Linked DNA regions of Mus musculus. Each later gene encodes a partner of the first gene's protein in a complex. Links are inferred from orthologs where the notes say so. Each region holds a gene or a part of one and is shown in the gene's direction. Other genes may lie near its edges.

Region 1 (4,243 bases):
ACAGCAGTCTTTGCTGCTTAACCTTCACTTAAGTCTTTCATAATTTCTCAGTTGGATGAAGTTGTGGGAATTAAGCCGATGGCCTGAAATTCAGGCGCAGAGGCCAAGGTTGTGAAAAATTACATAACTCCTGAGAGAGACCGAGTGCTTTTGCCCGGCCTGCCTGAGTGTTTCTCTTCTCCACCGGCTCCTCGCCACCTCTGAGGCCCAACAGACAACTTTGCTTCCCAGCCCCTTCTCCCTCTTTTGTCTGCTCTTCAGACTCGTTTTCCACCTTCGTACCGCTCCCTTTAGACGTGAAAACAAACACAGGGCCGCGCGCGGGTTGGCAGGGAGACCGGAGGCACGAGGGGACCGAGCAGCTTCGGGCCCCGAGCGCCGGCAGCCGGTTCCCCCCCCCCTCCCCTCGCTCCCCCGGGCCGGGCCCTCCGCGCCAGGCCGGGCGAGACCAGCCGGGTGAGCGGGGCGAGCTGGCGGGCGAACGTGCGCTCAGCGGCGGCGCCCGGGGCCGAGTCCAGTCCGCGTTTTGCGAGTGCGCAGCAGCCCTCGGAGAGAAGCGGATAATAGTTGCTCCGGCTCGCTCGGCTCCCTCACGCCGCGCTGGGCCCGATTAGGCTCAGGCAAGTCGTGCATTTCCCCCCCCCCCCCATATCCGGGTTAGAGAGGGGGGAAAAAGAGAGAGAGAGAGAGCGAGCGAGAGTGAGGGAGGGAGAGAGAAAAGTTTCATTGCAAGCGGAACTAAAAAACTTTCCGCCCGTTCAGGCCGTAGCGGGCGCGAGCCCCCGAGCGCAAAGGCGCGCCCCCGGCGGGCGGCCCGGGGCTGCGGGGGGTGGGGTGGGGAGGGCACCGCGCTTCCCCGCGGGCCGCGTGGATGCGCGCAGGAGGGGCGGCCGGCTGCGAGTGGGGACATTGTCTCCCCCCACCCCGCCCGGCCGCGCCACGCCGCGGCGATCATGGCCGCGCGGGCAGCAGCGGCGGCGCGGGCGCGGGCGGGCAGCGGCGAGCGGCGGGCGCCCTCGGGGCCGCGGCCGGCGCCCGGGGCCCGGGACCTGGAGACGGGCGCGCGCGGCGCGGTGGCGGCTCCGGGCCCCATCCTGGGGGGCGGCGACGGCGGCCTGAATAATGTGCACCACCACCCCCTGCACCCCCGTCACGACCTGAACATGGCCCATAGCGCGAGCGCCGCGGCGGCCGCCAGCTCCAACAGCGCGCAGAGCGGCCGCTCCGAGGCGGCTCTCAAGGAGGGTGGAAGCGCCGCCGCGCTGTCCTCCTCCGCCGCCGTCGCGGCCTCTTCCTCCTCGGCGGGCCCCGGCTCGACCATGGAGACCGGGCTGCTCCCCAACCACAAACTGAAAGCCGTTGGCGAGGCCCCCGCTGCACCGCCCCATCAGCAGCACCACCACCACCATGCCCACCACCACCACCACCACCATGCCCACCACCTCCACCACCTCCACCACCACCACGCACTACAGCAGCAGCTAAACCAGTTCCAGCAGCCGCAGCCGCCGCAGCCACAGCAGCAGCAGCCGCCGCCACCGCCGCAGCAGCAGCATCCCACTGCCAACAACAGCCTGGGCGGTGCGGGCGGCGGCGCGCCTCAGCCCGGCCCGGACATGGAGCAGCCGCAACATGGAGGCGCCAAGGACAGTGTCGCGGGCAATCAGGCTGACCCGCAGGGCCAGCCTCTGCTGAGCAAACCGGGCGACGAGGACGACGCGCCGCCCAAGATGGGGGAGCCGGCGGGCAGCCGCTATGAGCACCCGGGCCTGGGCGCGCAGCAGCAGCCCGCGCCGGTCGCCGTGCCCGGGGGCGGCGGCGGCCCAGCGGCCGTCTCGGAGTTTAATAATTACTATGGCAGCGCTGCCCCTGCTAGCGGCGGCCCCGGCGGCCGCGCTGGGCCTTGCTTTGATCAACATGGCGGACAACAAAGCCCCGGGATGGGGATGATGCACTCCGCCTCTGCCGCCGCCGGGGCCCCCAGCAGCATGGACCCCCTGCAGAACTCCCACGAAGGGTACCCCAACAGCCAGTACAACCATTATCCGGGCTACAGCCGGCCCGGCGCGGGCGGCGGCGGCGGCGGCGGCGGAGGAGGAGGAGGCAGCGGAGGAGGTGGAGGAGGAGGAGGAGCAGGAGGAGCAGGAGGAGCAGCGGCAGCGGCAGCAGGAGCCGGAGCTGTGGCGGCGGCGGCCGCGGCGGCGGCGGCAGCAGCAGCAGCAGCAGGAGGAGGCGGTGGCGGCGGCTATGGGAGCTCGTCCTCGGGGTACGGGGTGCTGAGCTCCCCGCGGCAGCAGGGCGGCGGCATGATGATGGGCCCCGGGGGCGGCGGGGCCGCGAGCCTCAGCAAGGCGGCCGCCGGCGCGGCGGCGGCGGCGGGGGGCTTCCAGCGCTTCGCCGGCCAGAACCAGCACCCGTCGGGGGCTACACCGACCCTCAACCAGCTGCTCACCTCACCCAGCCCCATGATGAGGAGCTACGGCGGTAGCTACCCCGACTACAGCAGCTCCAGCGCGCCGCCGCCGCCGTCGCAGCCCCAGTCCCAGGCGGCGGCGGGGGCGGCGGCGGGTGGCCAGCAGGCGGCCGCGGGCATGGGCTTGGGCAAGGACCTAGGCGCCCAGTACGCCGCTGCCAGCCCGGCCTGGGCGGCCGCGCAACAAAGGAGTCACCCGGCGATGAGCCCCGGCACCCCCGGACCGACCATGGGCAGATCCCAGGTAACCCCCGCGCCCGGCCGGGCCTGCTTCCGCCCGGGCCTCGCGCCGCGAGCCCGACTTTCTTTCTTCGCCGGGTACTTTTCCCGGCGGTTGGCGGGGGTGGCGGGGGCGCGGCGCCGCCGGGCCGGGGCCGGAGCTGGCGGGGCTGGGGAGCCGGGGTGTCCCGCGCCCTTGCTGCGCGCTGCGCTCCCGTGCCAGGCCCGGGACGGGACCTCGGTGCCCCAGGCCGCGCCCGCCCGGGGAGGGCTCTCGGGGCAGCGGGCTCCGGGGCCCGGCTTGACTCCGCCGGCGCCCACGGTGTGCCCTGAGTGGGCGCGGGGAGAGAGGAACTTTCTCTCTTCGGGCCTCGGTCGGTTTCCCATTCCCCTTGCGAGGAGGAGGCAGGGGGAAAAAAAAAACCAAAAAAAAAAAAAAAAAAAAACCCAAAAACCGAGGTTAGCTTTGTGACAGCCGTGGCTGGTGGAGTTTGGATGTTTACCAGCAAGAATAAGACCCAGATTTACAACGGGCGGAGGCGAAATATTGTAAAATAACATCGATTCGTTCCTAAGAATAGCTGGGGAGAGATCCATTATGGGGCTAAGGGCTCCTTGGAAGGAGTCACCTTCAACCGGGAGGCGATGTTGAAGGAATAGATTCCGGATCGATGGAACTTATTTTGATCATGGGTTAGGTTTTCCTTTTTTATTCAGCAAACCTAGTAAGGTAGTAGGCCAGAGAAAATGGGTCGTTGTGGATCGTATTTGAGTGGATTTTCTTGATTTTGCTGTCTCCCAAGTCCAACAGCGTTGTTAGGAAGTGTCTTGCGCTCTGGCTGTTTCTTGCTAGTAGGCTGAGCCTAAAGACTGACTTGATCTCTCCTTTGCAAGGTTTGGAATTTGAATTGTGGAGGTAAACTGGCTGTAATAGTCTCCAGACAGCTGCCTCTGAGTTGACATCTAATCTGCCATCTGATTGGCTCCCCTCTCACCATTGGGCATTTAGCACTGCTGATGTAAATAGAAGTGCGGAGCAGTACAGTCACAAAAATTCCTGACACAAATAATAACTGAACTCTATTCCAAGCACATGGAAGATTGAATACTATTTAGAGCTTAAATTGTTATGAATCATAGTTAGTAATAAAGGATTGAATACAGAGAAACATGCTGTTGTCCAGTATTAGGCATTTATAAAACTTGGGTCTTCGATGACAAATCTTACAATATGAACATTACATTTATTGTGGGCTTTAATTGTGGACTGAAAATAGGAGCATTGGGAAATAATTAATGCAAAGATTGGACCAGTTTGGGCTTCGTCAAGCTTTTTTATAAAAGTCTGCTTTTTACAGATCTAATTGAATATATTTTAATCCTACCAGTTTACAGTTTAATGCATTAAGATTTCAGTATTCTGAAATGCTATAACATTTCTTACTGATATTTAATTATCTAAAAATCAGAAGAAAGCTATATAATTGGTGATTCTTAATTAGCTTAGAGCCAGAATAAAGCTATGCATTTTTAGTGATTTGTGTTCTCATA
Region 2 (3,644 bases), on another chromosome or scaffold:
TTAGTGCACTGCTGTGGCCAGGACTGACTTAGTGGCTGCCTAGCCATAACCAGAAGATATTTCCCCAGTGGAGTTAGAAATTGCTTCTTTTTTTTTTTTTTTTTTTTTTTTAGATTTATTTATTTATTTATTTATTTATTTATTATATGTAAGTACACTGTAGCTGTCTTCAGACAGCTACAGAAGAGGGCGTCAGATCTCATTATGGGTGGTTGTGAGCCACCATGTGGTTGCTGGGATTTGAACTTCGGACCTTCGGAAGAGCAGTCGGGTGCTCTTACCCACTGAGCCATCTCACCAGCCCTAGAAATTGCTTCTTAAGGAACTCCATCCTGGGGACTTCTTTCTGGCCTTGTGTAACAACACACTCCACCCACTCCCCATCTCTTTTCTAGGCGGCCTTGTCCAAATATGACGCCACCAAGCAAAAGAGAAAGTTCTCTTCCTTTTTTAAGTCCTTGGTGATCGAACTGGACAAAGACCTCTATGGCCCAGACAACCATCTGGTAGAAGTGAGTAGTTCTGCCTTCCAGGCCTTAACATTTTCAGGGGATGATTAGCCCAGGTTCACACATTGGCCTCTAGGCGGCGCTAGCTGTGCTGAGTTGGGCCCCAGGAGCTCTTGGTAACTGATTTGACTCACTTGTTGCTGTCCAGACTGCTGCCCCCAAAGAGATCTTGGTAGAGTGGAGTCCTTACACTTTCAACTGTCTCTGCGTCTTCCTTTAAGTATTGGTGGGCTGTAGTAACTGACGTGTTTTATTTTCTTGATAGCAGTTTCTGTAGCTAATGGGTGACTCGTAGACTAATAGAGCACTAGCTTGTCTGGGTTACTGATCTGTACCTTCCTCTTGGCCCCTGATCCTTTAGATTTATCCTTCAGACAGCCAGGAACACTTAACGCCTGGTTGTACAATGCTTCAAAGACTGTTAGCTGTTAGCAACAGGGTTGTGGGGACATAAACTAGAGTGGCCTAGTGCTCTCTGGGGACTTAACCTGCCCCTTTCTTTACCACCGTAGCTGCAGCCCCTTATCTCCAGCCACTAAGAGACATGGGAAGTAAGTCACAGAGTTGGTAGAAATCTGTAAAGTGCTTGATTTGATAGCATAGCAGTAGTGTAGAGTAGCTAGACCTGTGGCCTAGAGTCAGCTCAAGTTCTAGCTCTGTAACGTACTGAATGTAGTGTGTCGTAGACTCATAGACAGCTTAGCCCTCAGTAAATTGAAGCTTAGGTTTCTTTTTTTTTTTTTTTTTTTTTTTTTTTTTTTTTAATATCCAAAACGTGTTTATTGGGAAGGTTCCCACTCATCTTCAATCAGGGGCTTTCAGTGCTGCTTCCTCCTGAAGGAGCATCCTTCTGTCAGCCTTGCTTTTCCACCTGTAGGCTGACAGAGGACAGTGGAGCAGCCAACACACAAGACTACCGTTTGTGCATGGCTAAAGACCGTGGTGATTTTATAGCATCCTGGGCATTTCACGTCCATAAAGTAGGAATTGGGGCTCTGCACCAGGCGCTTTTTTTTGTGTTTCCTCTTCTCCTCTTCTGGAGCGGGATGAAGGAGATCCTTTGCGAGAGGCATGTTCTCGTAGGGAGGTCGTCACCGCCGGAAAGGCGAAGCTTAGGTTTCTGTTCCATGTATAAAAGTCATTTTGTGGGTGAAATTATCACTGGGAATTTAAGCCTTTTTTTTTTTTTTCTTTTTCTTTTTTTTTTCCGAGACAGGGTTTCTCTGTGTATCCCTGGCTGTCCTGGCACTCACTCTGTAGACCAGGCTGGCCTGGAACTCAGAAATCCACCTGCCTCTGCCTTCCAAGTTCTGGGATTAAAGGCGTGCACCACCACTGCCAGGCGAATTTAAGCCTTTTTAAACACCGCCATTTCAAACAGGATTAGAAGGTTCTGCCTACATAGACAATAATTCCAAAGCCATATGTGTTTTTAGAGATACCTTGAGCTGTTGCTCTTCCCCAGTAGCCTCAGTAATCAAAGTTAAATGTTGAGTTATTACCGACACGCGTCCCTCCCACCCCAGCTCTTCCTCTGGAAGAGTACACCCTGACACCTTCCTCTCTGCAGTGGCACAGGACCGCCACTACCCAGGAGACCGATGGCTTCCAGGTGAAGCGGCCAGGAGATGTGAATGTACGGTGTACTGTCCTGCTGATGCTGGACTACCAGGTATGCTTTGGAGGTGTGAAGGAGTCCAGCTTTCACGGCCATATTGCATGAGTTCTTACTCAGAAGGGTCAAAGTCTATAGCGACAGCAAGCGAGTCTCTCTGTCCTCTAGCTTTGCTATCCAGATTTGCCAATGTTTGTTAGATTGAATGTGTTCCTGTACTGAGCGCCCCAAAAGACACATGGAGCCAGCTCGTTAGCTTCATCTGTACTCTTGGTTCCCCGCAGCCCCCCCAGTTTAAATTAGACCCTCGCCTGGCTCGGCTCTTGGGCATCCATACCCAGACACGTCCAGTGATCATCCAAGCACTGTGGCAGTATATTAAAACACACAAGCTCCAGGACCCTCACGAGCGAGAGTTTGTTCTCTGTGACAAGTACCTCCAGCAGGTATGTGAAGGGCACCTTCTATTTTGGGAGTCTCATCGCACTGAATGTGCCGATTTGTAGCCTCTCCCTCTTCCCCGCCTCAGATCTTTGAATCTCAGCGGATGAAGTTCTCAGAGATCCCTCAGCGGCTCCACGCCTTGCTTATGCCACCAGAGCCCATCATCATCAATCATGTCATCAGGTGAGTGTGTGCTGGCGCCCGCCTGCCCGCAGAGCAGTGAGTGTGTGCTGGCGCCCGCCTGCCCGCAGAGCAGTGAGTGTGTGCTGGCGCCCGCCTGCAGAGCAGTGAGTGTGTGCTGGCGCCTGCCTACAGAGCAGTGAGTGTGTGCTGCCGCCCGCCCGCAGAGCAGTGAGTGTGTGCTGGCGCCTGCCTACAGAGCAGTGAGTGTGTGCTGGCGCCCGCCCGCAGAGCAGTGAGTGTGTGCTGGCGCCTGCCTACAGAGCAGTGAGTGTGTGCTGGCGCCCGCCCGCAGAGCAGTGAGTGTGTGCTGCCGCCTGCCTACAGAGCAGTGAGTGTGTGCTGGCGCCCGCCTGCCTGCAGAGCAGCTTGCACGGCCCGTTGTCAGGCTGTGGTGGTCTTGTTAGATGTGCCTGTTCTGTTTCTGTTTAAATTACATAAGCTCCTTACTATATTAAAACTGATGGTGACACCAACTTGTGCTTGCCTGTTACTCTGCTCGCCTGTGAGGGGTTTATGCCCTGGAGGTGACTGTTGTGGTGGCATGCTCTTCTCTGGCCCATGCTAGAGTTAATGGCTGGATGTGGGCCAGCACTGTCATAGCAGGCCCACTTCCCTTTGGAGTCTAGTTACCAGCTCCCACTATGGTGGGATCAGCAACCACCTTTTTTTTTTTCTGAGACAGGGTTTCTCTGTGTAGCCCTGGCTGTCCTGGAACTCACTCTGTAGACCAGGCTGGCCTCGAACTCAGAAATCCACCTGCCTCTGCCTCCCAAGTGCTGGGATTAAAGGTGTGCGCCACCACTGCCAGCTTGGACTCCTGCTTAAAACTTTACACAAAATGCCTTTGGTGCTACTTGAATTTTATGACTTTCATAAAGCCAAGCTCAGCCCAG

Evidence for each region. The genes of interacting proteins can lie anywhere in the genome.
Region 2: Arid1b (region 1) and Smarcd1 share a complex: the UniProt entries of both Homo sapiens proteins name them as parts of the neuron-specific chromatin remodeling complex. The link is inferred for Mus musculus from reciprocal best matches to the Homo sapiens genes ARID1B and SMARCD1.

Annotation. Positions count from the first base shown.
Region 1 is NC_000083.6:4,993,776-4,998,018, forward strand, and holds the start of Arid1b (AT-rich interactive domain-containing protein 1B), read left to right. Parts: upstream 1-1,319; coding exon 1,320-2,717; intron 2,718-3,149; exon of another isoform or gene 3,150-4,243. UniProt on the Homo sapiens protein: Involved in transcriptional activation and repression of select genes by chromatin remodeling (alteration of DNA-nucleosome topology).
Region 2 is NC_000081.6:99,705,232-99,708,875, forward strand, and holds part of Smarcd1 (SWI/SNF-related matrix-associated actin-dependent regulator of chromatin subfamily D member 1), read left to right. Parts: intron 1-395; coding exon 396-512; intron 513-1,273; exon of another isoform or gene 1,274-1,615; intron 1,616-2,079; coding exon 2,080-2,181; intron 2,182-2,408; coding exon 2,409-2,570; intron 2,571-2,653; coding exon 2,654-2,751; intron 2,752-3,644. UniProt on the Homo sapiens protein: Involved in transcriptional activation and repression of select genes by chromatin remodeling (alteration of DNA-nucleosome topology).